Linked DNA regions of Coturnix japonica. The protein of the gene in region 1 purifies or fractionates together with the protein of each later gene. This does not show direct contact. Links are inferred from orthologs where the notes say so. Each region holds a gene or a part of one and is shown in the gene's direction. Other genes may lie near its edges.

Region 1 (15,614 bases):
CATGCTTTTACCAATGATGGAGGTTTTCCATCTGAGATATTACAAAAATGTCTTTCTAGAGTCACCTGTAGTTATAGTCATGCTGTGTTATGTTACTTTGTGTATGTAAGTATGTGTATGTATGTATGTAAGATTCTAACTTAGCAGTAAGAATCAAATTGCAAATATTCAGAATTTAACCTGTGAAGGTTAATATAAATTGTTTATATGCAGTTGTTTTTTATTTCCTCAATAATGAGAGCATAAAAATTATATGGGTAATTATTGGAAGTAAAGCAATGTCTTCTAGACAGACAAGTAAATCTTCTAGATTAACTAGTAAGGCCATTTTAAAGTCACAAATAACTGTGTAGCTAGGTGTGTTATCCCTAACACACAGTATTAGCTAGAATGAGAAAGAGCTTCTGAATACCTTTTTTCCTCTATAGGCAACACATGATTTTATTTATTTATTCATTTATTTTTATTAGTGATGGGTAATACTGGCTTTAAGATAGAGATACATTTAATTCATAAAAGATCAGTAGTCTGCCCTAACAAGATGGTGTCTATAGGTATATTAGAGATAACTATTAGTCAGTGAATGAGGAGAAACATCAACCATGCATCAAATTATTATTATTATTTTAATTTAGAATATTTCTAGAGGACTTATCAGTGTAAATTAACAAACAAATAAACAAAAAATCAAAATGATTCTCTAAACTTCCAGGAGAGAATGTCAATGTTTTATATTACACTGAAATTAAATATATATATGCATGTATGTACGTATGTATATATTAACAGCGACACATACAGGAAGAATGGCATGCCGTGTTTAAAGCCTTGTTCCTGATAGAGCCATACTGTATTAAAAACAAATCTGGAACCTGAGCATGTTCACTACAATTATCATTATCCAGCCTTCATAACGTCTGACCTTCCCTAAACAGAAATATTTTCCTTTTTTTAATGCTCTGTGTTGCACTGCATTTTCCATTGTCATTGGCAGCATATTGATTTAATATCAGGTTAGAGGATTACCCATGGCAAATGTAAGTTGGACATACTGTATTTTGTATAATCTTTTACAGATGATCCACTGGGAGAATTAATAGAATTTCATGCAACTCTGAAATTGCTATTCCTGTTCCAAAGGGCACTCAAGATTTTTAGATGCTGTACTTTTTAGTTGATTTTCTCAACCCTTCTTCATTGAATACAGAGAGATACTGAATGTTTCCAGTATTTTTGCATTAGAGATGTCATTGGCAGCAACAGTACTTTTGCATATGCATCAGTTTGGCTCTAGTGCAGATTTTTTTCAACATTGGACGCCTACTGATGTGCACTGATTTAACTTCTAAAAATGAAACTTAATTTTGTGTAGCTTATAAGTAGTCCCTAGTGTGTCTTGGCTCCAAAAAGCTAATATTTTTCAGACATAATCAGCAGCAATAGGTAATGTATTACCATTAGCTACGTTAGCAGAGGGTTTAAAAAAATGAAAGGTTGAAGGAGGAAGTATGGTGCAGAAATTCAATAGAAAATACAATATGCTTTTAGCAGCTTCATACTATACAGCGATTTTAATATAAAATTACATGTCTGTGTTACACTAGAATTATTCTCCATGTTCATTCATGGATATTTAAAAAACACAAAAATATTTGTTAGCCAAGGACAATAATAGTTTAACAGTAATTTATTTTAAACTGCTACTGATAATACAACCAATCAACAGATTAAGTGGTGCCAACATTGGCATCTTGCTAAATGATCTCTAGACTTTGCACTGAAAGTACATCTTTCAAAGATAAGTCAACAAGAGCAATCAGAGCAGAAAATTAGAATTTGGTATCTTAGAATTAAAATACAGCTAAACTAAAGTTTTAATTGGGGTGATCTAAAAGGGCAGTTGACGTAATGATCTCTTTCATTTGTTACTAATTGTTTATTCCTGATGAAGAAGAAACATGTACATGAATGTAGTTGAACTGAGTAAAGATGGCAGTTGTTTTAGCAGCTTGATTTTATGGTTAAATGAGATGGATTGCAAGAATTTGGGAAAGGCATTTGACAATAAACTTTCAATCTACAAGTACTCTTTGTGTAATTTCCGTTGATCTTTTTGTTGTTTTCTTTCTAGATTTCGAACATAAACCCAAGGCTGGTATTGATATAATAATTCCTATCAGAATTTCTCAGTAGCACTTATTATAAAAAACATAATTTGTGATAATTGTAAGCATAGCAGAATGAAGAGGTGGTTGATGGCTCAGTGTCTGATTGGAGATTGGTGACAAGAGGTGCTCCCGAATCATCAGTGCTCTGGACTGATACTCTTCAATATCTTCATCAGTGACATTGACAGTGGGGTTGTGTGCACCCTCAGGAAGGTACTGATGATATCAGCTGCCATCCAGAGGGACCTAGACAGGTTTGAGCAGTGCACCTGGGTGAACCTCAAGAGGTTCAACAAATCCAAAAGCAACCTGGGTCAAGGCAACCCCCATTACCAATACAAGCTGGGGGATGAAAGGATTGAGTGCAGCCCTAATGAAAAAGACCTGGATGTGCTAGTAACTGGGAAGCTGGACATGAGCCAGCAATTCACCCTCACAGCCTAGAAAGCCAACTGTATCCTGGGCTGAACCAAAAGTACTCTGGCCAGAAGGTTGAGGGAGGTGATCCTGCCCCTCTACTCTGCTCTGCTGAGGCCTCACCTGGAGTACTGCATCCAGATGTAGAGTTCTCAGTACTGGAGAGAAGTGTTGGAGTGTGTCCAGAGAAGGGCCACAAAAATGATCCAAGGGATGGAACACCTCTCCTGTGAGGAAAGGCTGAGGGAGCTGGGGCTGTTCAGCCAGGTCAAGGCTGTGAGGTGACCTGAGAGCAGCCTGTCAACCTCTAAAGGGAAGGTACAGAAAAAAAGGGGACAAACTCTTTAGCAGTGAGTGTCTGTGGTGACAGAACAAGAGGCAATGGCTTCAGGCTTACAGAGGGTAGATTTAGGTTGGATATAAGGAAGAAGTATTTCACAGTGAGGGTGATGAGGCACTGGAACAGGCTTCCCAGAAATGTGGTTGATGTCCCATCCCTGGAGACATTCAAGGTGAGGCTGGATAAGGCCCTGGGCATCCTGATCTAGCTGTGGTATCCCTTTCATTGCACATGGTCCTTGCAGTTGGAAAGTTTTGAGTTCTTTCAGCTGCTGTGGACTTCAATGCATTGAAGTATAATGAAACTACAGAGAATTACATTTTTAGTGAGACAACACTTAAGACAACAATTTAGTTAAGAGTGAGGAAGAGTGAGGATAAGAACAGACTTGAAAGAAGAGGTGGAAGGATGCAAATTTCAATGGTAGGCATTGACATTAGGAAGGCTAACAAGAGAAAAGTGCTTGCTAACACTCAAGAAAGTACTTTTTTTTCCATTTTCAAGTATCATAATGGTGGTTTGGGTTTGGGTTTGGGTTTGGGTTTGGGGTAGGGTTAAAACTCGGAATTTAATTTAGGAAATGTGCTTAAATGGTGAGGGAACTTATGACTTGGAGAACATAATTTTGTGTCTGTAGTATGCAGCTCTGAAACAGGGTCTTGAATATAAACTTTATATCTTTTAACTTTCCTAAAATAACTACCAGCAACTTCTTCAGTCTGTCTTGTTGGCATTGGTTTGCTTCATATCAGCAAATCCCTCTTGGGTCAAAATAGATCTATGACTGTCAGGAGACTTGCCTTGGATATAGAAGAGTTAAGTTCTTGTCCATGCAGGTTCATATATGCCTAGCCATGCTTAATTATCTTCTCTATTATGATAGCTTTACATGAAAGAGATAAAAGTGTGGAGCCAAGAGCCCAATGGCCAGAATTCTGGAATATGGAATTCTTTACTCTTCCTATATTTATTTCTTTCAACCCTGTTTCCCCTCCTCTTTATTTTATATCAGTGTCCTAATTATCTATTAATTAGTTATGCCAAGATCTGTCTGTTTCTTTGCAAAAAAAGAAGGAACTGTTGAATTAAAGTCCTCAAGAAAAAAAAGAAATTAGGCTGAGTAATTATTTTCTGATGCAATAACCACAAAAATGTAGAATTTTTCCCCAAACATACCAAGTCAAGAAATTAAGAGATCGCTGTGTTTTGCCATCTGTTATGAGATAACAATTGTACAAGATCAGTAAAGTACTTTTAAAGACAGAAAGATCTTCTTGCTTTGTGAGTGTCCTCTGCTTAACATCTTAACAACTTAATCTTCCTTGGAAACAATATTGAATGTAGTAATATTGAACAATAAGGAGCTGGACTAAAGACTGAATTTGCCATTCTTAAGGTGATAAATAATGAGACTGACAACTCATTGTCAGTAGGACAGCTCTTTTTGTAGTCACTTGCAAGTGGTTTATATACACTTATATATACATATATATTTTATCTTCCATGAAGAATAAACCTATCCCTATAACTTTCTAATATTAGTTTTACATGTATTTAAAGATCATCATGCATCTTCTGTAAAAACTTGATGCTGCTTTTATAAAGATTTTTTGTCCACTTGGTAAAATTCACTCCAGTTAAAATTTGCTCTTGATAACTGGGAAACTCTGAACCAGTAACAGGATTATTTCATTTGTAAAATTTCATATGACTAATCAGAGATAAATAATGTCAGTTGTTTATTATGCCATCTGTTGTAATATTCCTCAAACATTACAATGTCCAAGTTTTGGGTGTTTGTTTTTTTCTGAACAGGGTCTACTAAAGGTTGCTATAGACAATGCCAGAGCTCAAGAGAAACAAGTCCAACTGGAAAAGACAGAACTGAAGATGGAGCTCTTCAGGGAACGAGAACTGAGGGAAACACTTGAAAAACAGTTGGCTGTGGAGCAGAAAAATAGAGGTATCTTAATAAAGCAAACATAAATACCTTGTAATTTTTTTCCTTAGGAAACCTAATTTTTTTTCAAGCATTTGTGTTTCGTCAAAATATTTCTCCAGTACTCCTGTTATGTGCAGGCTGACTACAATGCAGGAAGTTTTTCAGTCTGCCTGATACTAATTTTCCGTAGGTTCTGCATGAAATTTAGTGCAAGCACCTTCGGTTTTGTTTTTTTTTTTGTTTGTTTGTTTTCTGCATTTGTCTTGAATATAACTTATTACAACATATCAGTAATACACAGTACAAATGTAAACACAGCAAGTGCAGTTATGGACTTCAGCAGGATGCAACCATTATGAAAAAGGATAGCTACTTAAAGCAAACACAACTTTATGAAATTTTATTCTCTTCGAGGTGTTATGAATTCATTTCTTTTCCTATGTGATAGAGTCATATACTGCATATTTAGGCAATCTGTACATAATAAAATACGAAGTTAATAGTAATATGTAAGCCTTTTGTAATGCAGTAGGTCAAATATGTTTATAGAAGGAACAGATAGCTAAGGTTCTCTTTGAGAAAGATCCCAGTGTAAAGCATATTAATATTGAACATTTCTTAATGATTTCTCCTTGTGGAAAAGCTGACTGCCCATGGTTTGGATGGGCATACACTTCACTCAGTGAAACACTGGCTGAATGCCCGGGCCCAAAGAGTTGTGGTCAATGGAGTTAAATCCAGTTGGAGGGTGGTCATGAGTGGTGTCCCCCAGGGCTCAGTACTAGGACCGCTTCTATTTAACATCTTTATTAACTATCTTGATGATGGGATTGAGTGCGCCCTCGGTAAGTTTGCAGACAGCACAAAGTTGGGAGGTAGTGTTGATCTGCCAGAGGGGAGAAAGGCACTACAGAGGGACCTGGATAGACTGGATCGATGGGCCAAGGTAAACTGTATGAGTTTCAGTAGGGCCAAGTGTCAGGTCCTGCATTTTGGTCACAACAACCCCAGGCAACCCTACAGGCCTGGGGAGGAGTGGCTAGAAAGCTGCCTGATGGAAAGAGACTTTGGTGTACTGATGGACAATCGGCTGAATATGAGTCAACAGTGTGTCCAGGTGGCCAAAAAGGCCAATGGCATCCTGGCTTGTATCAGGAATGGTGTGATGAGCAGGACTAGGGAAGTCATCCTGCCCCTGTACACAGCGTTGGTGAGGCCTCATCTCAAGTAATGTGTCCAGTTTTGGGCACCTCAGTATGGAAGGGACACTGAGGTGCTAGAGGAGGTCCAAAGAAGGGCAGAAAGGCTTGTGAAGTGCTTGAAGAATATGACCTATGAGGAGAGACTGAAGGAACTGGGGCTGTTTAGTCTGGGGAAAAGGAGGCTGACGGGAGACCTTATTGCACTCTTCCAATATCTGAAAGGTGCTTACAGTGAGAGCAGGGTTGGTCTCTTCTTACTGGTGACGGGTGACAGGATGAAGGGAAGTTGCCAGGGTTGTGCCAGGGTAAGTTTAGGTTGGATATCTGCATTTTTTTACAGAAAGGGTTGTTAAGCACTGGAATAGGCTCCCCAGGGAGGTGGTTGAGTCACCACCACTGGATGTGTTTAAAAACCATTTGGTTGTGGTGCTCAGGGACATGATTTCACAAGTGCTGTTAGGGTAGTATGGTTAGGTCATGGTTGGACCTGATGATCTTTAAGGTCTTTTCCAACTGAGTGATTCTGTGATTCTATGGTTTCCTGTATATTATTTATCTTACTCTGCCTTTATCCATTTTTTAGAGTTAGGCAACAATACACACAGCAGAAACATTATAGGTGGGTACTCATCTGACTTTGAGTTTTGCCATGTAGAAATTAAGTGCATAATTCAAGCTAATAACATAAATTCCCTTTCTTTCAATCAAGTGATTCCTACATCCTGTTCTGAGACAGGTAGGTGAGGTCAATTACACTGTGAATAACTCTCTCTTCCCATTAGCACTGGAAAGAATATCACTGACTAAGCTGGACTAGACACTTAGAGTTTCAGCAGGTAAAATTAGGTGAAATGCATTTTGCTCTAAGTTGTATTTCAAGAAAAAGCATGTGTTAGTCCTTTATTTTTGTTAGGATAGTGAAATAATTGAGAGTGTTATTTTCTGCACTATACATTATCTGCTTCTTTTGTATGTATCTTTCTAATGACAATATCGCACTGGCAAAAGAGTCAAACCAAAGAGGAATGGATATGAGCACTTAACAGTGTAATGTAGTAAAGCAAATGTAATGAGGATGACTGTCTTCGGTAGTGGATGCTTCCATACAAAAGAAAGTAAAAATAACATATTATTCTTTACAATGAAGAAAGCCAAGTAGGAGAGAAAAAATAAGACTTTGTGATTACTTTGGGAATTTATCCTTCAATGAAAGACTGAAACGCACATTGGAGGCTTTGCCTTACATTAGTTTTAACCAGTACCAAATGTCATGTCTGAAAGAAAGTCTCACATCTTAATAGAAGCATGAGCAGGATGGGATAAGCATACTACATCCCTCTTAAGAAATATTCTGTAAGAAAAGGCTGAAATACCCTTAAAAAGCTGCAGCACAGAAATATATGTACACCGTCATATGCAGGTCAAAGCCCATTAGGCAAATGGGATCTTCAGCATTAGGCAACCAGTATCAATGCCTATCTTTTGCTAGTCATGTTAACACAAGTCAAAAATCTCTACAGGCAGGATATCTGATTTATTATTATTATTATTTATTTATTTATTTACTGTCATTTTGGGGAACATTAAATCCACCGCTGCTACTGTGTATTCTACAGTGCTGCTTATTTACTGTATTGTTTCCTTCCTTCTTTGTAAATATTCCAATTAGTGATTCCTAAGGCTGTAGGATGTGTCTCATCAACCAGTGAAAGTAGGATAATCTCTCTTCTGTGAGCAGCTACACAGTAAGGGCTTGCTAATTCTGGCTCTGACTGCTGTAGTCACATCTACAATGTGTCAGCCATGATGACATTTTAATTTGGAAAGCAACATATGTTTCCTTCTCATTTATTGCAATCACTTTCAAAGTACTTATAATGAAAACATTAAAATGGTGCAATGATTCAAAATGTATTTAGTTTAGCATTTGTAAAGATACTAGCTGTTCTTTGATAGTGTAAGATAGTATGCCTAGAAAGTAGTTTCACTATACAAAATGAGAAAGTGCCAGAATTCCAAAGTCTTGCATGTTAATGATGTAGCTATACTCACTAGAGGGTTTGCGCTAATGTAATAGACATATTTTGTGTGTAAACAGTTCTGTACAGCAACACAGAAAAAATAAATAAATCTAAGACTGCTCAAAAAGATCTTACTTAGCATATACATTAAATAGAAGTAATCATGATGGATCTCTTTAAAAATTTAATGATTTGCATTCTGTGAAAGTTGCAGCTATGACTATTGAAAATGGAGACTGTGAACTGATAGGCACGTATTTTGAACCTTTCCAATATTTCTCACTACACCAGATACAAGTGGTTAATTTGGAGAAGGTTAAAGAGTCAGATAGATAAAACTTAATAGTCAAGTCTAGTATCACCTAGTATCTGGTTTTGGTAATGGTATTTCTGTAGTTAGTGTAAAAATAACAGATTCTCTAGAAAAGGATTATCCAGGTAGATCTTACAGTAAATGAGCCTCTTACAAGAGTGTTTCTGAAAACACTATGGTTGGAGTGTGGTTGAGTAGATAACAGTGTAATCTACAACTTTGTATGATTTATTTAGTGGATCACTTTCACTGAGTAGGAAAAAAAAGTGTTCACAATACTCTTTTCCAATGAGGACATAATCTCTGATATGCTCCTTCAGTCAGGGAACATACAAGTTTTATTTTAGTTCTAATTTGGAAGGAACTGTCTGGAAACATAAAACAGAAAATCATGATGGATTTTCTTTAAAACCTATCATCTTATATGATTCATTTACATCCTATTCCTGCAACCATTTCCTTTGTAGAATGTGAACAAGAAGCAGGAACAACATTTTCTAAGTAAGGGTTTTCTGCACTGAATTGTTATTTATTACTTTCCTAATCTTTTCCCTTACATTCGAGAAAGCGAAGTAATAATTATTTGGCTTGGGGATCTGGCACTGTCCATTTGTTTCTAATATAAAGGATTTGGAATAAGTTCCAAGATTTTCCAACTTACACTTTCACAAATCCTTGTCTGTTTATTAAAAGAAACAGCATGGCAAAGTGGCTCTTTAAATATCTGTGAATCCAGCAAATTTCAGGTAGCTTAAATAGATAGTGTGTAATTACACAATTTATGTGGACTGTTACAGTTGTATTGTTTCTTGGAACCCTTAATACATAATTCCATGGCCAAGTTTCAGATCTGAATTTGAGTACACTGATTTTCTTCCTTCTAGCAATAATTCAGAAAAGGTTAAAGAAGGAAAAGAAGGCAAAGAGGAAATTGCAGGAAGCACTTGAGTTTGAGACTAAACGACGGGAGCAAGCAGAACAGACACTGAAACAAGCAGCTTCAACAGATAGTCTCAGGGTCCTAAATGGTAAGAAGCCAGCTTTTGCTTCTGTGTCATTAATTTTCAATTTAAGTGTCTAAAGAACCTTGTTAGTATGAAATCTATAACATGGTGGGAGAGGGAAAAAAGGAAAATCTCTCTTCTTTCTTTTGTTCAAGGGATGCCTCTCTCTTTTTTGCTTTGTTACTTTATATAGCACGTGCAAATAAATTCATGGAAAGAATGCCCCAACTAGGCCTATTTTATATTATTAGCTTGAGAAGTCGTAGGTTTGGTTTTTTTTTTCTCCTTCTTTTTCTTCCTACCTTTATGCTTGAAAAATCTATTGCTCATTAATCTCCCTAGTCTAACAAAAAATTGTTCTGGCCTCTAGTCATTGTTCAACATTAAAAAAAACTGACAAAGGTTGATTGTATTGTAATTCAGCTTTAGAGTAACAGGTTGTAAAAAGGGCCATAAGAATCAAATGAAATATGTGTCAGTCTTACCTTTCTATGCTTCTAGACTCTCTGACCCCAGAGATAGAAGCTGACCGCAGTGGGGGCAGAACAGATGCTGAAAGGACAATACAAGGTAAGAATTTGCAAAAGGCTATAAATCTAGATCTTGCTATATGAGTTTTTCCTCAGCTTTAGAATGCTATTCAAGCATGTAGCCTACCATCTGGGCCACATCAAAACAAGTTCAAACAAGGTCAAGTTCATCTTGCTTTATAGGAGAGAATATATTCAGTGGCGATAGATTTTCTTTAAATTAATAGGTCATTTCTGTTTATCTTCTGCAATTAAAGAAGAATAATTAATTTGAAGCAATATAGGCTTTAATCTCAGGCATGCAAAATGCAGTTTTTGTGAATATATAACATTTAGGATAACTTTTTTTTAAAGGCTGATTTAAAACAATTTGAGCCTTTCAACTATACAAATGGGTAACATTCAAGGCAAGATGAGAATTTCATAGCTAATATTCAGTGGCAGTTCCTGAAAGGTGTGTTTCAATAAGCTACTGTGAGCATTAATGATGAATAAACTGTTTATTCACTTCCTGGATTTTTCATTTACCACATCCCATTATTTACAGTTTAATAAAACAAATCTGCTGAGTAAATTTGTACATGAAATACTAAAGAGAGCCTTATTACTTCCCCTGTGAATCTGAATGTATATATATTGCAAGCACCACGATATTAGTAAGGAACAAATTTTTAAGATAGCATTTGTGTTATAATGTCCTCTCTAGTCAACAATCTAATTCTACCTACATGAATACTAAACAGCAGAAACAGCATTTGTTTTCAAGTGTAAATGAACGTGCTTTTTTACAAAGGCGGCAAGCCTAAAATGGTTAGCACCAGTAATCACACTCAATTGCCTTAACTTTGCATTTTGAAGTCAATCATCTTAACAGTATCATTTGACATAATCTGTGTGTTATTTAATCACTTTTACTGACTTCTAAAGTATTGTTACTAGTGTGCCACAAGGAGGCCATAACAACAAAATAAGATGTCAACAGTCTTTAAAGGTATTGAGCATATACAAAAAATCTGTGGGACAAACAAAAACATTTAGATTTAAATTGTGTGTTCTGTCTACAAAGCTAATAGCTCAGAAGTTGAAATATGTCAGTTTGAATGTTGCCTGGGAAGTAGGTAGATGTGACATTATTGTTACAGAATCCTGCTTCTCCTTTGACTGAATGTATGCCTAACTAAAAACACCATTTGATACATCCTTCTAATGAGAATACAACCAACATGCTCATTTGCTACAAAACATACATTTTGTTATTTTGTTTGGTGCACAGACAAGCTTTTCTTTGGAGATATTTCTTTGGAGAAAATACATCTGAGGTAACTGAGTTCCTTGCGAACACTAATTTATTTATCTTCAGACTATTCCTGCAAGGAAGCAGAGTTTGAAGTATTCCCATTGAAACTTGGGAATCAGAGGAAGACTGAGGTGACAAATTGTTTTATGTGTTCACTGTGTTCAAATCCTGTTCCTATTGAATTCAGTTTCCTTTATGAGCTGAGATATTCAGAAGATGAGAACACATAATTACAGAGTATTTTGGATGTGGGTATTCTAAAGGATTTATCCCAGACTACAAAGGAAGAGCATTTCTGTGTTTTAACCAAGCTATTCTCCTGTTATGCTCATTTTGTACATGTACATTTACAAAACAAGTGAAACCAAGGTCTTAGAGACAACATTCTCAATAATGATGACTTAATCTTGACTCATCTGTCCAAGATTGTATGAGGAAAATAAATAATAAACCCCATAAAATAATACTGATGGTTGTTTAGTTACAGACTGAACCGTGATGATCATGGTATTGGATCATACTTACTGCATAGGCAGCCTTAGTTCTGACATTTCCTGTCTTTGCTTTCCAGTTTTAATGTACAATTTAAATAATTTTTTTTTGTGGTGTTTTTTTTTGTTTTGTTTTGTTTTTTTAAATGTATTTTTTTATTTTTTTCGATGTATTTTTCAATATATTCAGTTTAATCATTATATCAGATTTTGGAAAATCTAGGTCTATCATTGGGATGTAGATTTACAACACAGTATGTAATTGAAGGAGTTTGTTGTCTTTGTGGATCAATTTTTTGTGGAGTGACAGTTTCAGAAATAGTTATTAACAGAGGAGTAATAGTGAGTGTCAGGACTCTTTGTATTCATTTCCACTACAAGAAGGAGAATTCCCTTTCCCTTTTCTCTGTGTTCCCATTAGCATGTATCCCTGTTAGTCCTGTATCTCCATGTCCCAGTTCCTCCTTCTTTCTTTCTCCTCATTCTAATTTCAGCTTTTGTAGTGGCTGTTCTCACTGTCCTGTCTCAACACTTCTTCTCCCCCCTCCACTAATTTTCCATTACCGATGAACGCATTCTTCCACCATTCTCTTCTGAACTAAGTTTCACGCCACCCTAATTATTTCTTCTATTGCAAAATCTTTCTCCCTTATGTGACCCTTTTTGTTGCCTTCCTCTTTTGTCCAGTGGTTTTTAGAGTCTGCACTCCACTAACATTCCCTGTTAACAGCCTTTCCTGTTTGGTAAAAAGTCTTTCAGTATTGATTCTGTTTCTCATGCCTCCCCATCAGGCTCACATTCCTAACTCCTCTGTAGACATTCTGTTTCCTCTTCCAAATCTTCCTTAGTATCAGCAAGAGAATAATTGAGAGAAAAGGAAAGACAGTTTCTATGTTGCTATTTCAATATTTAGCATAATGATTGCTTGCACAAATGAGGATAGACAGTTTCAGTGAAGGAGCTTCATTCAGTTCCAGGATAAAGCATGCTCACTACAAATGGACTCTTTGGAGAATTTAGTTGCAAAATTGTACAAAATCTTTCCTCCAGTGTGTGATTTTTTTTAACTCTCACAGAGATAACCAAGAACATGTCCTTCTATTTTTTGAAATTTTCAGTTATTTCTTTACATTTTATCTAATAATGATATTTACTTCTGTATGCAAAAGAAGGATTATTCCATAGAATACACAGTATATTCTCTAATAAAGAATATAATATTTAATTCATGCTTTCAGGTTCTGGAAAAATATGCTCACTAGGGAAGTATTTATATGCCTTTCTTGCTCCACTAAAATACCTGTGTTTATATCTTCCTGTATCAAAGCATATATGGGGTAATAACAGTTTTATGCATAATCATGATACATTTTTTTCAACTTACTGTATTAAGCATGCTTTGCAGTTCTTTAACTGAACAAGCAAATATAGCAGCAGCGTTCTGTGGGGATGTAAAATAATTGAAATATCAAGTATAATTTCAGCATTTGAGAAAGTATTAGGCAAAGAGAATAGAATTTTAAAATAAAGATTTTATCTACTCTTTATTATAAATAAAAAGATTCTTGCTGATTTAGATCTATATTTAATGTAAGTATTGTAATGGTCACTTTTGTTTGCAAGGGATAGGACTAATTTAAGTGTAAAAGGTAATTACATTTATCAATAAATGGGGTATGTTCTATTTTTCATCCTGTATCACCTTCCAATGTGTTCAAATTCACTTTTAGTTCATATAGAGACTTGTAAAAAGAGAATGATATTCAGAAAAAAGGAGTTTGTGTCTGTAGAAAGAAGCAATAACAGATATTATATTTTTTCTAGGTTTTACTTTGTTTTGTTTTGATTTGATTTTTTTGTTTTGTTTTTTTAATATCGGATAGCCAACATCTTGCTGAACTATCCATAAAATACTGAGGAGTAATCATAATAAATAACTCAAATGTAAGTCCAAATGTACATAGATATTTTTAACAGATGCAGATACTAAGTTATTGGGAACTGGTTTAGACACTAGGTTTAAATGTTTTCTTTCTTGCTTTTGTTTAAATTTATAATAAAGCAGATTGTCCTCTTCTCCATACATATTGTAGGTTCACTAGATGCCTATGCCTAGCTCCCAATCCGGTTTCCCAAGATCCCCTCATCCCACACAAAAAGGTACCAGACAAAGATAATGTTTACTTTTATGTACTGTTTTGTTACCAGACCTCTTACTAAGCACTTAGAACAATGACATTTACTGCTGTTCTTACTTTCCTTTTTTTTCCCACTTTCCTTTTTTTCCCCACTGATTCTTTTCTTCCCCATCTGCTTAACTGTCCTGTATTTTTTGCCAACATTATTTTTTTTCTTTTCCTGTATAAATTCCACATTCATTTTTCCATGTCCTAGTGATTTCCCTCCCAAATACTACACATTTGTAGTCTTTATTCTATTTAATCACAGCTCTCTTTATGTATTGTCTAAACTCATCTAAAAAAGTTCTGCTTTACACTGTCTTCTCCACTGACCATTTCTTTAGTGTGGTGTCTCTTTCACGTTTTCCTTTTCCCAAATTCTTCCATTTCAGTGCTTTCTTCCCAAAACTGTTCTGATAATAGCAGGAAGCTTAACCAGATTCTCTGTCTCTGCTGTCTTGCATATCTTCTTCATTTATTTCCTATTTTCTATGGAGTGCTTCATCCAATAGCTTTTCTGCTTCCTTTTTCAAATTCTGCATACTCTTATTCCAGCTTTTGTAAAGCCAAATCCCTCATTCTCTAACAGCCTCTTCTTACTCTGCTCAGTTCCCATGAGAATTCCCATTGTTGTTTCTTGATTGTTTGTTTGTTTGTTTTTCCCAAATATCTCAGGAGATCCTTTCCTTTTTTGCATATTCTCTGAATTTCTCCTGTCTATTCCAGTATTTCAGTTTTTCCCTTTCTATGAACTCTCCTCTAGCCCTTGTTCCCTTTGTCCATCAGTCAAATTTTATGTGTGAAATCCTTATTCTCTGCAGATATACTTTCTCTTTGTAGCAGATTATCAGCCTTTCTTTTTACTCTCTTCATCCCACAGCAAAATTAGCTTTTACTAAGTCCTTTCACATATTGTTTTTTTCCCAGTTCTACACCTCTTCTGCAGGGTGATATTAAGAATACAGTGAAGTATAATTTTAAGTGGCTTCAGACTATTTGTTCCTTATGTGAAAAAGCCATTCAGTTGCCATGCACAGGAAAGTTTCCAGGACCATCTGTTCTTCTCCATTCACAGACCTTTCTCAAACTTTTTATCTCATTAGCAAACAAACAGAGGTACTTGCTCCCTCCTAGAAAGGACAGGTCAGGAAATGGAAATGTTTAGGAGATCCTGTAACACAGAAAGAGAGCTACTGCAACTCAACATACTGACTGCAAAGTCCTCTATTGAAATTACTTTTAAGATCAGTGAAGGCTACAAATGAAGAAAAGGAAATTATGATTTAATTTTGCATATGCCAGGGACCTAAAGGGTACATTTTGCTGCCTAAGTAATAGGAAAATGCTGCCCTGCAGCTGCCCTAGATGTTAATAACAATTGCTTAGAAACGGCTTCAGTCATTTGTCTGAAAACCTAACCTGAATTGTTTTCTGCATTGGTTTGAGACTTGTTTAATCTATTTTTCAACAAGCAAAATCAGTGTAATAATCACAGCAAATTATAGTCTTTGATGCTTTCTTGCTATGTTTGTGTTTGAAAGATAGCTATCTGAAGGACTACCACATTGAAAAGGAACTTTCAGTCATTCCATGAGCCTTGTGTACACAGTTCTATTTCTGATGTAAAAATCTTGACAAAAGCGTGTCTAAATATGTGATTATATTTCTTATAAGATCAGAAACTTTTATTGGAAAAGGCCATTATCAAG
Region 2 (15,614 bases), on another chromosome or scaffold:
GGAAGGCTGTGGTTGTATCCCATTTGAGTTTACTCAGTTCTTCTGCTTTTTCTCCACTGGCACACAGAAAATAAAATTACTTCCCATTATACTTGCGAGGTGACATTAAAGAGGTGAATGTATTTTTGCTTCACCTTGTAAATTCTTTTGGTTGCCATGAATTGGATATATATTCCCAACCACTAATGTTACAGGGTTAGGTGGGTGCATTGCAGGCCAAGAACATAAATGTGAAATACACTACTATTCTTATTAATATTAATAAAATCATCCAAGTCTGAAATTGGCTATCATTGAATTGACCTCAGATCTTTGACACAAATGCCTATTTGAAGCACTTGGCAACACGCTGTACGCATCCACACCCAAAGTATCTTTGCCCAGGCTTGCAGATTTGCCAGCCACACATCTTTTCCTACACTGACTGTAAGGAATGCAATGGCTGGAAAACATCAGCACCAAACATGCCTATATAGAATAAGGCTACGTTGTACCATTAGCTCTTACAATACGTGTGCTTAACCTCTCTCATGTGACTCACCTGAGTCCACAGCCTTAGCAGAAGTCTCTGCAAGTACGTGCACATTACAGCTGGTACCCAGAGCTCTAAATGCCATGCAGTCCTTTCTGGAATATCTTTCTAGTTATGTTCCCTGAAAAAAAAAACAAACCAGCTGAATTTCAATTAGCAGCCATCACAGCCCCCAGGCCTTTGCTTTATTGTTGTCCTTTTATCCTCAAAATTTTCCTTGATCTCATGAGCTTGTTTCTAATATATTCCAATATTATGGCTTTTTATATGTTTCATATGTTCTCAACAGACTGTGTAAACAGTCCTGCGAGCTGACCAACGTGTCTGCCAAATGCACTGCCTGCTGTTCATGCAGTATTTCCTCCAGCATATGCGTGAGCTGTGCTCCTGAAGCCACTGTAAATAAGATGAACTCAGGTAAGGATCAATATTACCTGGACAGAATTTTCCATCTCTGCCTCCTGTCTGACATGAGGGAAGTTACAGGTACTGCTGTGTCAGTGACTGCACACGATTTTTTACTGAAGAAAAGAGGCAGTAAGTGCAATTTTCAGCATGTGAAGTGGCCTGATTCTTCTCCTGCAGAAGCCCTGAGAAGCTGCTGTGGACAAGACCAGGACATGTCCACTTCAGGTGGGGACAGGGTTGCCTGCTCCAGTGGGGAGCAGCTATAAAGTCAGTGTGTGATATGTCAGCTGTGCTCAGAGATCGAGCTGCTTATTATTCATCAGATGAGATTGAGGAAGAGTAGTTGTTTGGCAGCATCTCCCCCACAGCTGAAGTCTTTAACTCTGCTTGTGTTTCCAGGTACTGCCCTACCTTTCCTCCTATGTGCCCTTTCCTCCCTGCAGTGTCTGCCTTAGCTGTTTGGCAACCCTAACTGCTCCCTCACCATGACTCCAACTCAAATGACTGTCATCCAGAGGGAATGTTTCCATTTGAATGACATGAGCAGGCACTAGTAAACTTCCCCACAGGCTCTGCCACTATAATCCCTGGGAAGGAGCAACCTGCAGGACCTACTTTCACTGTTCAATGCTTTCTCTGTTTATTGCCACCATAGTCAGAACCAAAAACATCACTCAAATTCACATCGGAGTCCTTACATCTGTCAGCCACCAACCACTGGTGATAGTCAGCAACAGAAACTCGGTGTCCATACAAGCCTGAACTCGTAGGTTAGGGAAGGGGAGCTTGATTTCTCATTGGAAATTCCTATGCTCTGTGGTGCTCTATACAAGGCATTTTTGGTGTCATGCTGACTTGCTTCCTTTCCTTCTCCTGTTGCAAGCACTGCTTTATCCCAGGTTACCAGGAGCCTACTGTTCCAACAGCTGCTAAGGCAGAGTGAGGTGTCAACTTGACAAGATGCCAGATTGCTCATTAATTAAAAAGCCAGGCATTTTTTATCCATTCTCAGGCACTAATAAAAAAATAAAATATTTTACCAACAGCTCCCAATAGTTAAATCTGGTTAAATCTGGTTATTCTGAGGTATTTGGTCACAACTAGCAGACATAAGTCAATGCATTTTGTTGCTCCTGCTTACTTTAATAAAGGTTTATCAAAATACCATAATGCCAGAAAGCTCGTTTCTTTTCTGCACAGTGAAAACGTGCCTTGGTTGTATCTGAAAAAACGCACACTTCTGTTGGGATCTTTGTCCTCAAACACAGTAAATATCTTTTCAAAGGTGCTCATCTGCCTCCCCAGCACTCAGCTTTGCATGCTTCTATTTGTATGTTAATTTTGTTCATACTGTTAGCCCACAGCCCAGCGCTGCCGTCTGCTTCCCATATGCCACATGCCCTCAGTGCCTCCTGCACAGCTCACCTTCCAACTCACTTCACTCTTTGGGCTCCCACTGCAGATCAGCTGCCTTTCTGCCAGCCTCGATCATGTGCTGGGGATTGTTTAAGTGTAAGATCCACAGGATAGGAACTTTGCCCAACTCTCCATTTCTCAGAACACTGGATATGCTGTGGCATAGAAATAATGAATGCAGAGGCATTAACAGTGCGATGCTTTGATTTGTTATGCCCTAAAATTCCAAGGGAAGCAATACCCTGGGGTCTCTTCATCTCTAAATAATGTAACTAGCCAGGTTTTTCATCAAAAATTATGCAAATAGAGCTGTTGAAATAACAAAAAGAAGTTCATTTATCATCTGAAAATGTATTTCTGAGTAACTGCAGTGATAACTCAGTGCCTCCATAAAGCCAACAAGGAATGGGAAAAAAAGTACCTTTAGAGACAATCATATTACATCTTTCACTCACGTTTTGCTTCACATGAAGCATCCAAGGTTTGAAATGCTCCCAACAGTATTCTTAATAAAATGGAAAAACAACAACAAGTGTTTTTAGTGGTTCCTCCCTCACTTCTATACTCTCTCTGTTTACATCCTGCATTGCTGTCCTGCCCCCGAGGTAACCCAACAGGTCTTGCAAAGACTCCTAACTTTGCCCCACCTCCATCATTCACAATCTTGTCTCTGTAACCTACTCATTTTCCTCCATTCCACAAAGTAGTAGTTTCAAAGAAATTCAGAGATTAATTAAAATGATTGGTGGGATGAGTAGGTGAGGGGGACAGGCTAAAGGGCTTGACAAGAAAGATGAAAAGGACTAAACGCATGTAGCTTGGTTAAGCGATGACTAATTGAGGGTGGAGGAGATGGACACGATATTCATTTACAAGTGCTTGTAGTTCCGAGGAACCCTTTTCATGGGCAAATGCTAACTCAGGACCGAGTGCTCTGTCTTGTCTTACAGATCTGGTTTCAGGGTTCTTCACATCAAGCTCAGACACCTCCTGTGTGTTCACAGCTTTCCCTCGGACCCCCAAAGGTGACTATTTGGATTCAGCTCTCAGCCACACGCAGTTCCTGGATCCCCACGAGGCCACGTGAGCCCTGGTGAGGGCAAAGAGCAGAAGGAGCGGCCGTGGGGCCGGAAGCCGGGGGTGGACGATGTGGCGGCTCTGCCACACCTCTTGTACTGCAGGCTGAGGTGGAGTTGAACTGGCCCTGAGAACACACCTTGAGGAACACCTGGGAATTAGTTTTACTTCCACTTACCCCAAGGAAACTCAGCTCACCGTGCCCTCGCACCCCTGGCCTCTTTCACCACGCTCTGATATGAAAATAAAAGAAATACACTTGTTCCTTTTGACCCGGCCAACTCTCCCCTCCCTCAGCAGGGCTGACGTGCTCTATAGCAGCTCATCACAAAGGGAAGCTGAGAAGGTCTGTGGATTCTCAGTCTTACATCATGCGGAGGTGAAGCAGGATTCACGTTGGAAAGCACAAAGGGGTCAAAAGCAAACAAATTCATAAGAATAACACAAGAACTCCTCTAATGTTGATTCTATGACATCTAAGCTTAAAAACCACAAATACCCTGCGTGCAAGCAAGCACTCTCCTTCTGTGAGCACCACTTCCAATATAGAAACAGTAGAAACCTAACATTTCTTCTTTCTAATGATCCAGAAATAAGCTAAAAGCACTTGTGATACAGGCCCGAAACAAACCACTCAACCTATTTATTCCTGGACACCAAATATAATTTAGATGGATGGAGTATGTATAAGAAATTTTAATTTGTCTCTGAAAAGCCATTTAATTATTCAGATGATCTGATTGCCTCAGTCAATCTCGTATTGATCTATTAGAGAACTTTATAAATCAAAACCTGCATTATGCTGGTCAGAGAATCTGTCTTTCACAGCAACAGAGATATGCAGCTAATTTCCAGTCCCTACCCACAGGTTAGTTTATTGGGACATGTAAATGGCCACGGTTTATAAATGGGCCGGTGTTTTCATTCTGCTAAAGGAGCATTTGCTTAAGGACATCGAGAAAGAGGGGAAAGCCCTCAAGTAATAGCTGCTGAACAGAGCAGAGCGCAGCCCCAAGCTCCCAGCCATGGAGGACTGCTGTCACTGCACGCACCAACCAGGCCGTTCCTGCTGAGCAGCGCTCAATGACTCGGGTGGGAGCCCAGCACTGTGTGCTGAGAGCTGAGCTGAGATCCCAGCCCATGGCCAAGCACCCGCTTGGCAGCCATCCCCTGCTGGGATCAGAACGCTGAAATCCCCTCAGAGCAGCAAAGAGCGTCGGGCTTGGGTTTCAGAGCTCTCCTGCTACGCACAACCTTTATGGGCAAGTTGGCTGCCTATTACCAGCCTCGACCAGGTAACCTTTAAGTGAGCAGTAATTAACGTAATGAGTGGACTGATGGGTGTCCCCCATAGCTATGGGCCTCAGTAGCAACACGTCTCTGGCAAACTGGAATGTCTAGTCCTAAACTGCACCTTTGTAAAAGGAAGGAAGTAAAAAAAGAACTAAAATGGGCTGGGGATAAAAAAAGAACAAAGAAATGAAATGACTTGGAATGAATATCTCCAGCCTAATCCAACATTCACTGAGGGCAATGAAAATCCTGCATCCACCCAGGTGGGGTGATGTGGACGGGCTGTAAGGGGCTGCTGACCAGGCCGAGGGGTTAAAGCTACACCGACCTGATATACAGACTGAATGTGGCTTTCTAGGATAAAACAGATGGACGACACTCCGACAAATTAAATATGTCAACAGTTAATTGGAACAACCTTTGTCAGGGTTATTTGTTTATACAGAAAACTGACTAAAGGAAAAGTCTTGTAACGGCTTCCTACGCAACAAAAACCACACGTATAAAAACCTTTAGGTTTAAAAACCATTTTAAAATAAAAACCTCCAGCAAAACGCTTCAAATTCATGTCTTCCCTTTCTCCAGAATTTCTTCTTTGCATAGACAAGCCCTTTACACGTCTCAAAATGGCGTGCTGACACAACACAGCCGGATCATTTACAGACTAAGTGGGAGTGCGGGCACAGCAAGAACACCAGGACGGCCCCAAGCAGACACCCCGTAGTCGCCAAGGCTGGATACCTGAGGCACATAGAAGCAGGGCACACACGCAGAGGTTTTGCCCTGGGATGCTCCCCCAGACAAGTCATTTGCAGCTTTAGGATTTCCAGAGCCAGAGATCGGCTGCACTCAACAGCCCTTGAGAGATTTCTCTCCTGTGACTTCATCTAATCACTTTTAAATCCTTCCTTCTGCACAGCACCCTCTTGCCAAGGTGTTCCACGGCAAACAGCTCTGCAAAGCAATTTCCCTCATTCATTCTGAGCCCTCCATCTGCCAGTTTTGCTCAGTGTACCTCAACTCCTGTGCCAGGAGTCGGGCTGTGGCCTCTATTTATCTTGTGTGTAAAGCTTAGGATGGAGCTAGGAAGCTGCTTCTAACACAGACGACTTTCAGAGGCTTTCCTATACACATGCAGTAACTGCTGCTGGAGCTACAGAGGCAGCTGGAATTACCTGCACACAGGTGCTCATTGCCTACCTGAAGGCTGTGCACACACCTGCAGCAAACACTAAGGCCCACATTTGTGGGCAAACTAATTCACTTGACTGTTAGCACAAACATGCACAGGTATTGGCTGTGTGATTCCAGCACATGGGTGAAGTGGATACACTGAGTGCAGCCAGGTGTGCACAGCAGGGAGGACCGGGAGATGACTCTATAAAAGGAGCAGTAACTTCTATCAGTCAGTGCATCCAGACATTCACTTTTAATTCACAGCTCTTTTTGATTCTGTTTATTACATTGCTCCCTCCCGTACTTTAAGTGCTAATTATGTTATTACATCTAGAAGAAAAAAAATAGCACTTAAGAGTTTTAAAGTGCATTTTCAAACCGAGACTTAAGTTTGTCAGCTTCGTATGTCACACAAAGCGATGGAGCCCAGCAGCGAAGCAGCAGCGGCAGCACTTGTTGCCCCGGGTTCCCGTCCCGTCCATCAGCCGAGCTGCGAGTCCCCGGTAGCTGTGGAGCAGCACAAACCTCCCTCCCCGACCGGATCCCTCCATCTCCAGCCGTTCCCCTTGGCCAAGCTGCGCTCACACACTAATACCAGCACAGCTCTACAACCGGGAGGACAACTTTAGGAAAACCCATCCAGAGCCAGGCTCCTTCCCGGCAGCTTTTTCCCCTCTCATACTTTGGGGAGCTCCCGGCCCTGGGAACAGACACAGCGCTCACCGCAGCGGCTGAAGGCAGGCGGGGCTGAGGGCAGCCGGGCCGCCCGTCCCCGCCCGCCGGGGCTCCCCGGGACGGGAGGAGACGAGGCCGAGCCGCCCCCACCCCAGCGCCGCCCGCCCTGCGCTGTGCCCCCGTGCGGGGCGGGGGCGGCCCCGGCGCTGTGCGCGCCCGCCCCGGCCCTGCCTGGAAGCGGCGGGGGCAGCGAGGCGGGGAAATCACGTGAGGGCTCCCCCGGAGCGCCACCTTCAGGGCCGTACCAACAACGGGACCGGGGGGGGGGAGGAGGCGGCGATGCGGCGGGACTCAACGCGACGTGGAACGGAGGAGCGCGGCCCGGCCCCGCCGCACGCAGCATCTCGGCCCCGAGCGCAGCACAACGCACGGGCTGAGGGCGCGGGGCGGCTCGGGGCGGCATCGCGGTGCCCCGGTACCCGGTAGGGCAGCGGTTGGTTGGTACGAGGCCGTCGAGCCGCCCAACCCCGCTCGGAGCTCGGGCCGCGGTAACCAGATATTCAAAAACAAGACGTCAGCCCACAATGCCCCGCGCCGCCGGCAGCATTACCTCATCCCACAAGGCCCCGCGCCGGCGCTGAGAAGCTTCTAGGGGCGGGGTGTCCATGGCGACCGGCTGCCATGCACCGCGCCGGGCCAGCGCCACGCCTCCCCCGGGACGGGCGGCGGCAGCCAATGGGGAGCGCGCGGGGTGACATCATGGGCTATTTTTAGCGGGCTCCCGGTCGCTGATAAGTGAAGGGCTGCACGGAGCGAGCGGGCTCAGAGCGGGGCGGGCGGCAGCGAGAATCAGCCGCCACAGCGGGCACGGCCGAGCGGAGCGCGGAGCCGGGAGGTACAAGCGGCAACGGCGGCAGGAGCGGCCCGGCCCGGCACAGCGCGGAGAGGCGGCCCGGGGAGCAGCACAGCGCACAGAGTACAGAGTACAGCGTACAGCGCACAGCGCACAGCGTAGGCCCGGCGGGCCCGGCCCGCGCCGGGAGGAGCGGCGTTGTCCCGGCGAGAAGTAAGGAAGGCTCCGGCTTGCTCTTTCCCCCCAAGCCGCTTGGCCGGGAGCGGTGTGGGGCGGCTCCCGGCGCCACTTTTTGGGCTCTGTTCTATGAGTGCAAAGATGGAGCCTACTTTCTACGAGGATGCACTGAACGCCAGCTTCGCGCCGCCGGAGAGCGGCGGTTATGGATATAATAACGCCAAGGTGCTGAAGCAGAGCATGACGCTGAACCTGTCCGACCCGGCCAGCAGCCTGAAGCCGCACCTGCGGAACAAGAACGCCGACATCCTCACCTCCCCCGACGTGGGGCTGCTGAAATTGGCCTCCCCGGAGCTGGAGCGGCTCATCATCCAGTCCAGCAACGGGTTAATCACCACCACGCCGACCCCGACGCAGTTCCTGTGCCCCAAGAACGTTACCGACGAACAAGAGGGGTTTGCCGAAGGCTTCGTGAGAGCGCTGGCGGAACTGCACAACCAGAACACGCTGCCCAGCGTCACCTCGGCCGCGCAACCTGTTAGCGGTGGCATGGCACCTGTGTCCTCCATGGCCGGCGGCGGCAGCTTCAACACGAGTTTGCACAGCGAGCCCCCGGTGTACGCCAACCTCAGCAACTTCAACCCCAACGCGCTCAATTCCGCACCCAACTACAATGCCAACGGCATGGGCTACGCGCCGCAGCATCACATAAACCCCCAGATGCCAGTGCAGCATCCCAGGCTTCAGGCTCTGAAAGAAGAGCCTCAGACTGTACCTGAAATGCCGGGGGAAACCCCTCCCCTGTCCCCTATTGACATGGAGTCGCAGGAGAGAATCAAAGCCGAGAGAAAACGCATGAGAAACAGAATCGCGGCGTCCAAATGCCGGAAAAGGAAGTTGGAAAGGATTGCCAGGTTGGAAGAAAAAGTGAAAACTTTGAAAGCCCAGAACTCAGAGCTGGCATCCACTGCCAACATGCTCAGAGAACAGGTTGCACAGCTTAAGCAGAAGGTCATGAACCATGTCAACAGCGGGTGCCAGCTAATGCTAACACAACAGTTGCAAACGTTTTGAAGAGACTGACTTCAATAGGAACTGTGATGTTGTGGTATAACTAAACGACAAACCAAAAGCGGCGGACGCGTAAAGCTCACGGTAGAAGCTGGGAGGCTGTGAGTCCTGCCTGCGTGCTGCAAAGCACATGTGTGCAAAGACTGGGCAGCCTTCAGCTCGAGTTGGTGAAGCAGCCGGCACCGCTCCGAGGTGCTGATCCTGCTCCCATGAGGCGACAGATCTTCGTTTAACATTGACCAAGACCTGCATGGACCTAACATTCGATGATCATTCAGTATTAAAGGTTAAACTGCAATAGAAACTGTAGATTGCTTCATGTAGTATTCCTTAAGAAACAAACAAACAAACAAAAAGCGGGAGGGAGGTTTGTGGGAGGCTGATAAACAACCAAGAACTGTTGTTCCTGCCTTCAAGTAAATGGTGTATGTACATATCCTTTTTTATTTTATTTTATGAAAGTTGATTAATGTCAATAAACTACTTCATGACTTTGTAAGTTATTTTTATGTTGTTTATTTGGGTACTGCCCAGTATTGTTTGTAAATAAGAGGCTTTTTTTTAGCACTCTGAGTTTACCATTTGTAATAAAGTATAATTTTTTTAATGTTTCTGTTTCTGGAAAAAATCTAGAAGGTTCTATTATATTTAAAAAAAAATAAAATACTTAAAATGCATTTCCTCCTCACACCTTTTTCATTATTATTATTATTATTATTATTGCTAGTATGTGAGTTAGGAAAATGCCCTTAATGCTGGACTCTAAAGGGCAGGGATTATGTGAAACTCGCTCTGTAAGTGCAGGCATGTCCTGGAGAACGTGTGAGGAGGAGACGGGGGGAACCAGATCCTGAGCACTGAGCAAACAGAACTTTTTGAGTTGTCTGGGAGTTCCAGTTCCTAACCTTAACCTGGGAGGTTATTGTGTGTTGTAGTGGCCCTGCTGGGGCGGCTGACTTTGGCTTTAGGCAGGCTCTAGAGATGGTAGAAAGCCGGTGTGTGAAACTGCTTTGCACTTGTATCTGGCTGCTTGTGCTCTTGCATGCTTTTTATTAAGCCAATGCCCTCGAGCAGGATCAGGCAAGGGGCTGTTTGCTTTCCTTTGCAACAAAAGTGCTCTAGACTTCAAAAGTAGAAATATTCACCTTCGTTCCTATGCAGTCTTTCTGCAGTGAAAGGTGATCCTTGTTAATATCTGAAAATGCTGTTGTCAGTGGAAAAAAACTTTTTATCTCTGAAATCCTTTTGGCTGTTACTGCAGGTTCTGAACTCTTTAGCAATAGGAAAACTGGGAAAACAACGTAGCAGGAAGTGAAAAGACATGAGAGCAACTCTCCTGGCACTTCCCGTGTCTTTTTAATGTAATCTTGTTTCTTAGCACAGCAATGTAAACATCTACTTTAGAGACATGCTGCTCAGCTGGTGGGGGGAATGATTTTGATATGATTCTGATAGCACCCTTCTCAACATGTGGCACCCAATTCATTCTCTTCAATAACTGTGTATATGAGGAGAGAGCAGATGTTCTGTTTGATGCCGATGGCCAAACAGCAAGGAGCAGAAACTATTACAGACTAACTAGAGTGCAATAACATCAGTACGTTTGTAGACAGTCCTGATCCATATTTTAAGGGCAAAAAGGTAGAAGTTTCTCTGCAGTGACTGCCATGTGTAAGGTCACATCACAGAATGACAAGAGCAGACCACTAATGTCAGCATAGCGATACTCTGAAACTTCCAACTGATGTGCATCCAAAGATCAGTTCCTCATAGGAAGCACAGAACTTAGCTTTCTTCTGACTTTTTTTTTCCCTGCCCAAATTGTATGGAGTTAATGACACGAAGGGTTGTCCTGATGTGTAAAATGTGATACTGTGGCAGAATCCTACATCGTAATCCAAGCATGGAGGCCGGTGCTGTTTAGATGCTGTTTGCTGCTGTCAGAGGAATACTCTTGTAACAACACCAACCAAACAAAGGGTTACTAGGAGGATACTGTAGTTTGCCAAGAGCACATTTTGCTGATGTCAGCAACCCGGAAGGTAAGTTGATTTTGACCATATGTAGGAACAGACAGCAGAGGGATAATACACAGCACTGCTGGGTGTGGTTTTACAGGGATTTAAGCAAGTGCCAACTAGCAAAATAAGCAGGGCAAGGAGATTAATTACCTGCAAAGGTGCCTGTTTAACTCTCCATAGTGCTGGGTTATGGAATAGATGTTACTAGCAAGCATTTTGCTTAATCACCTAATTACGCAAAAAATAAATACATTATATAAAATACTATGTTAATTAAACACAGCTGAGTGACAGTCTGCTCCACCCTATGCTAATACATGCACACAGACATTTAGCGCTGCAGTTACAAGTTTTCTCTCTCCAGTTCCACATTCTGAAGCACTGGCAGAAAAAAGAAGTTCCTGAGTAAGAGCAGTGCTGGTTCAGCGGGCAAACTGAGTTACCTGCCCAGGCCCAGCCCAGGAGGCGGCGTGGCTGTCAGTGCCAGTCACACAGGTTCACAAGGAGACAAGGGGGGATGGAGCACAAATCCTTTCTTATATCCCACGTCTCATTCGAGGATTGAGCCTGATGTGGGACGGAGTAAGTTGATATTACCTCCACCTCCGCCTGTTTTGTAAACAACGTGGTGGGATGTGAGCCTGTCTCTGTCTGGTGTGCTTCAGAATAGATGAATGCTCAGCACTCTTAGCGTATTACCAGATCACTTGGTGATCAATAAGCCTGATTGTAATGAAAGACATGCACGCATTTATATGTGGTGAAATGCAAAGTTTTAACACCTACTTAACTTGAGATTAAAATTGCCTCATGCTTTGTGTGCCTTATTTCTATAAGGAAAAGTCCGTTTTCTTTGAGATTTAGAAACACTTTTTGTTGCCCCAGCTGTACTCACAAGGGAATATTTTGCAAATAACAGCATTGTGAGCATGTATTTTGTTTGGCTGTGAGTGCTGTCAACGGATTCAGGAAGTGAAGTCAGAAAAAGGCAGGGTTTCAAACGGGGCAGGCTATGCCGAAATGCCTAGGCAAAGAGCCTCTAATCAGAACAACATGTTTGGGTTACAGAAATATTAATTAGAACTTGGGTCTGGACAAAAACAACCAACTCCTCACACTTCTATCCCATGAACTGAAGTGAGCTGCAAAGAGGACTGTATAATCTTAAATCCAAAGTACTTGTCACTACAGAAATAATAGTAGCCATCCAACTTACTCTAGTGGAAAAGAGTTATGTGGCAGCCAGTTTTAATCTCAGGACACTGTAGCAGTCATTGACATAGTCCTTCATCGTTGAGTTGCTCAGTTCTCTGCAGGTCAAAAACTACTGACCTCAAAATACAGCCCTTCAGTCCCAGCGTGCATTCAGGCAGCGTGTACCCACTTAAGGATGAAGGTGAGATGCCACAACTTCCTTTATTCTATAGGAACCTGTCATGATATACAGACACTATTCCTCTAAACCTCTGTGGAAACTAGACTGACAGTTTTGCCCCATGCAAAGCCTTAGGAATCCATTAAGATAATTGCTTTCTTAAAAAATAAATAAGCCTTTCAATAAAGTACGTTGCTGCATACGCACTAATGATCTTATCCTCCCAACTGCAAAGGAAGCAAAGAATCTAATTTGCAGGCAGCCAGGTTAGTTGTACAGCAGGCTTACATCACGTATCTAGCACCATGCAGCACATGCAGAGGCTGCACAGTGCAGAGTGAATCCTGAACCAGCAGCAAAACTGGCAGGTGTGTCCAGCTGGATGAGCACAGCACTCTGCCCACTGAATAACCTGAGCCAGGCTCCAGGTTTATTAGCTGGGCAGCGTTACTGAGCAGCCTGCGAAGGCGGGTGGACCGGCTCAGGCCAGAGCAAGCTTGGGCATCGTGGAGTACTTACACCATGGAGCGAGGTGCGAGGTGACCAGAAGCACATGGCAGAACTGAAAAACCAGAGCATTTATCTTTAATACCAAGTGAATGCCTTCTCTGCTTTTCATCTCTTCCTAGCCCTGAGACAGGTATAACAGTGTAGATTTACCAACAAGTAGAAACTAAAACCCTAAAGCCAGTTCAGGCAAAGTTTGCTCTATTTAAAGGAAAAAAAAAGTTGCAAACAACACAAGTGAATGCAAAACACTGGTAATGAGCAGAGGAAGGAATAATCTTTGAAATTACTGCATACACAAATCCATTATGAAATGTAATACATCTTATTAGCAGTGGGACAGGGAGAGGGAAGATGGCATTAATGTTCTTACTGAAGAAAAGGAAAAGGCAGGTGGGTTGCACTGTGGGAAGGTGATCATCCCAGAGATGGGCTTGTTTCTTCCAGCTGCACACAGTGCCAGCAGCAGCGCCTGCACCCCAGGGGGGAGGCCATCCCAGTTCCACACGTACGTATCATTGCTGACATCAACAGCAGAATAAATTCTCTGAGCAGAGCTCGTGCTTCCTACAAAGAGAACTTGTAAAAAGTCATCACCTAGTTACCAACTAGGTTCCTTCCATCCTTAAATATTCCAAAGCACTACAGAGTTGCAAAGGGGAAAAAACTTCTGAAAAAGTTAACTAAATATTGAAAGCAACAATGACTTTCTCAGCTATGGAGTAACAGCAGTAATTTTGTGTTTTGAGCCTTGAATTCTCCAGGCAGTTTCTATGTTAATTCCATAAAAATTTGCTAGAAACTCCTCCAAACTGACCTCTATTGTCTTTCAAATTTAAAAGAATTCCTGTGAAACCTGGCAGCATAATACCAAAGATGTGGGAAATGGGACGCAGCTCCAGCAGATGGAGCTCACAAGCAAACAGTGCAGGAACACACTGCAAGGAGGTTTGCAGCACGGAGCTCTTGTGTAGATGGTGTAGCAGCCAGAAAACACTGCTGCTCTCCCTGTGCAAACTCTGGTTGTTGTTTAGTTTTTACCTTGAGAAGTGAAATAGGGAAAGTTCCTCTTGAAACAAAGCCACAACACTTATGGGTCAGGATTTATTGTTTAACTTCTGACAGTGAGTTTTCTAGGTTAGGAGACACCATGAGCTCTCTTCGGACTTAACAGAAATGTGCATACATCAGAGATGTGGGCTGCTCTGGTTCTTTAACTGAAAGGCATCTGGTTAGATAGGCCGAAACCTGGGTCTGATTTACCCCATTAGAAAAAGGAGGCCTTTCCTTCTACTGAGCAGAAAAGTTTGTAGCCATCATGTGTTAGTGATGAATGAACTTCCGTAAACTAAATGTTATTCTACTGCACCATGCACCAAAAGTACACCACTTCCCCCTATACAAACAGCAAGGTATCCCTAAACATTAACTGTTCAAAACTCCTTGCAAGAAGTAATTAACAAGATTCATTACAAGCCCTCCCTTGGTATGTCTGGGCCTCAGTCAAGATATGATCCTTATCACACTAAATAATCACACAGAGTCTGACCCAAATACCTAAAGGGGAGAAAAGGAACTGAGATTCTCAATGCCAAATGCATCTCTCGTTTGGATCTGCTGTCATTCAGTTTGCCAGTTCTCCTTGTTTTCTGACTGAAGGAGACCATTTCTAAACATGAACATTCCAGTTATTTAAGTGCTTTTATTCTCAGAAACAAAACCAACAAGCTATATGAAGCTATACATGAAGCATGGCTGACTTTGGGACTGACGGTACAAGAGTTTACAGTCAGCCTGCAACAAGATTGGTGAGCAGAGCAAGCCCTTGGCAAGTTAACAGCAGAGTTTCCTTCTTTAAATGACAGAAAATAAACAGAATTCAGTGGTCTTTGTCCAGTTTCCTTCTCCTTTAAGCAGAGATTTTCTAACCCATATCTTTCCAGTGCAGCCCTGCAGGAAGCAGTCCATCTTTATCTAACTTCCCACTACATTGGTTCTCAGGGCTGTGAAAAAGAGACCACCATTCAACTCTGCAGATGTAGCTGGGCTGGTCGTATTTCAGCTTGGTTAGAAACTTGTGCATTATATTTACCACTTGTGCCCCCCCCAGTGCAGCTAAAGGTACCGTATTTAGGGAATCACCCCTAACTGAGCTTCACAACTACACACAGCTTTTACTTCCAGGTACTTTTGCAAAAGTAACAATGAAGTTGACCGGTTTGGTTCTTTTTTGCCCACGAGTGACCAAAAACCAGCACAGATCAAAAGCTGCTGGGTAGAAACAGCAGTTCTGGAAATCAGAGCACTGATAAATACCAGGAAGAAAACATGGTTCAAAAATCAGATTCCCTTCTTGTGTTGAGAAACAGGGATCGCTGGCAGATCTCCAAACTATGGGAGACTGAGACGGAACTCTTACATTCATTCTTCCCAACTTCCATTATACTGCAAAAATGCCCAAGCAAATCTTGCAGCAGTTTTATAACTTAATTTTAATTCACACATTTGGTTAAACAAGCTCAACTTCCCATATGGATAAAGCTATAAAACATGGTTTGACTTTCACAGAGAACAATTGTCATGCACCCATTAACTTGACTTGAGAACTGAGTCCTTTAGTAGCTTATGAAACTGCTTCTTGTGAGATGACTAACTTTATGCATATATATTTAAAATTATTTCAGAGGGCAGCGAGGTTATTATTCTAAGTCTTATAAATGGAATTCCTTGCACATGCTACACATGTTGGCTTCCACGTCTGTTTCGAATTTACATACAAAATAGATCAGCACACCCAAAACTTGTTACAAGCTATTTCCCCGGCCCCCTCTGTTCACTGTTTATCATTCTTACATGCAGAAATTGCTTCTGTGTTTTTCACTGCACAGGAAATGCCAGGCTGGCAATATGAGAAAGTCTCGCTTTTTAGCTTAATGTCAATTGTTCTTTCTTCCACGGTTACGTGCCTGTGGGCTGGATGTGGCATCTGGGTTCATGGAATGCTCTTACTCTCAGCATGGTATCTACTTGCAA

Evidence for each region.
Region 2: the proteins of DACH1 (region 1) and JUN purify together in Homo sapiens (affinity purification with western blotting; 3 studies listed by BioGRID and IntAct, with this or other methods). This does not show direct contact. The link is inferred for Coturnix japonica from reciprocal best matches to the Homo sapiens genes DACH1 and JUN.

Annotation. Positions count from the first base shown.
Region 1 is NC_029516.1:140,888,079-140,903,692, forward strand, and holds part of DACH1 (dachshund homolog 1), read left to right. Parts: intron 1-4,740; coding exon 4,741-4,888; intron 4,889-9,287; coding exon 9,288-9,431; intron 9,432-9,908; coding exon 9,909-9,977; intron 9,978-13,818; coding exon of another isoform or gene 13,819-13,841; exon of another isoform or gene 13,842-13,885; intron 13,886-15,614. UniProt on the Homo sapiens protein: Transcription factor that is involved in regulation of organogenesis. Seems to be a regulator of SIX1, SIX6 and probably SIX5.
Region 2 is NC_029523.1:23,593,379-23,608,992, reverse strand, and holds JUN (transcription factor AP-1), read left to right. Parts: upstream 1-7,212; 5' UTR 7,213-7,736; coding exon 7,737-8,681; 3' UTR 8,682-9,306; downstream 9,307-15,614. UniProt on the Homo sapiens protein: Transcription factor that recognizes and binds to the AP-1 consensus motif 5'-TGA[GC]TCA-3'.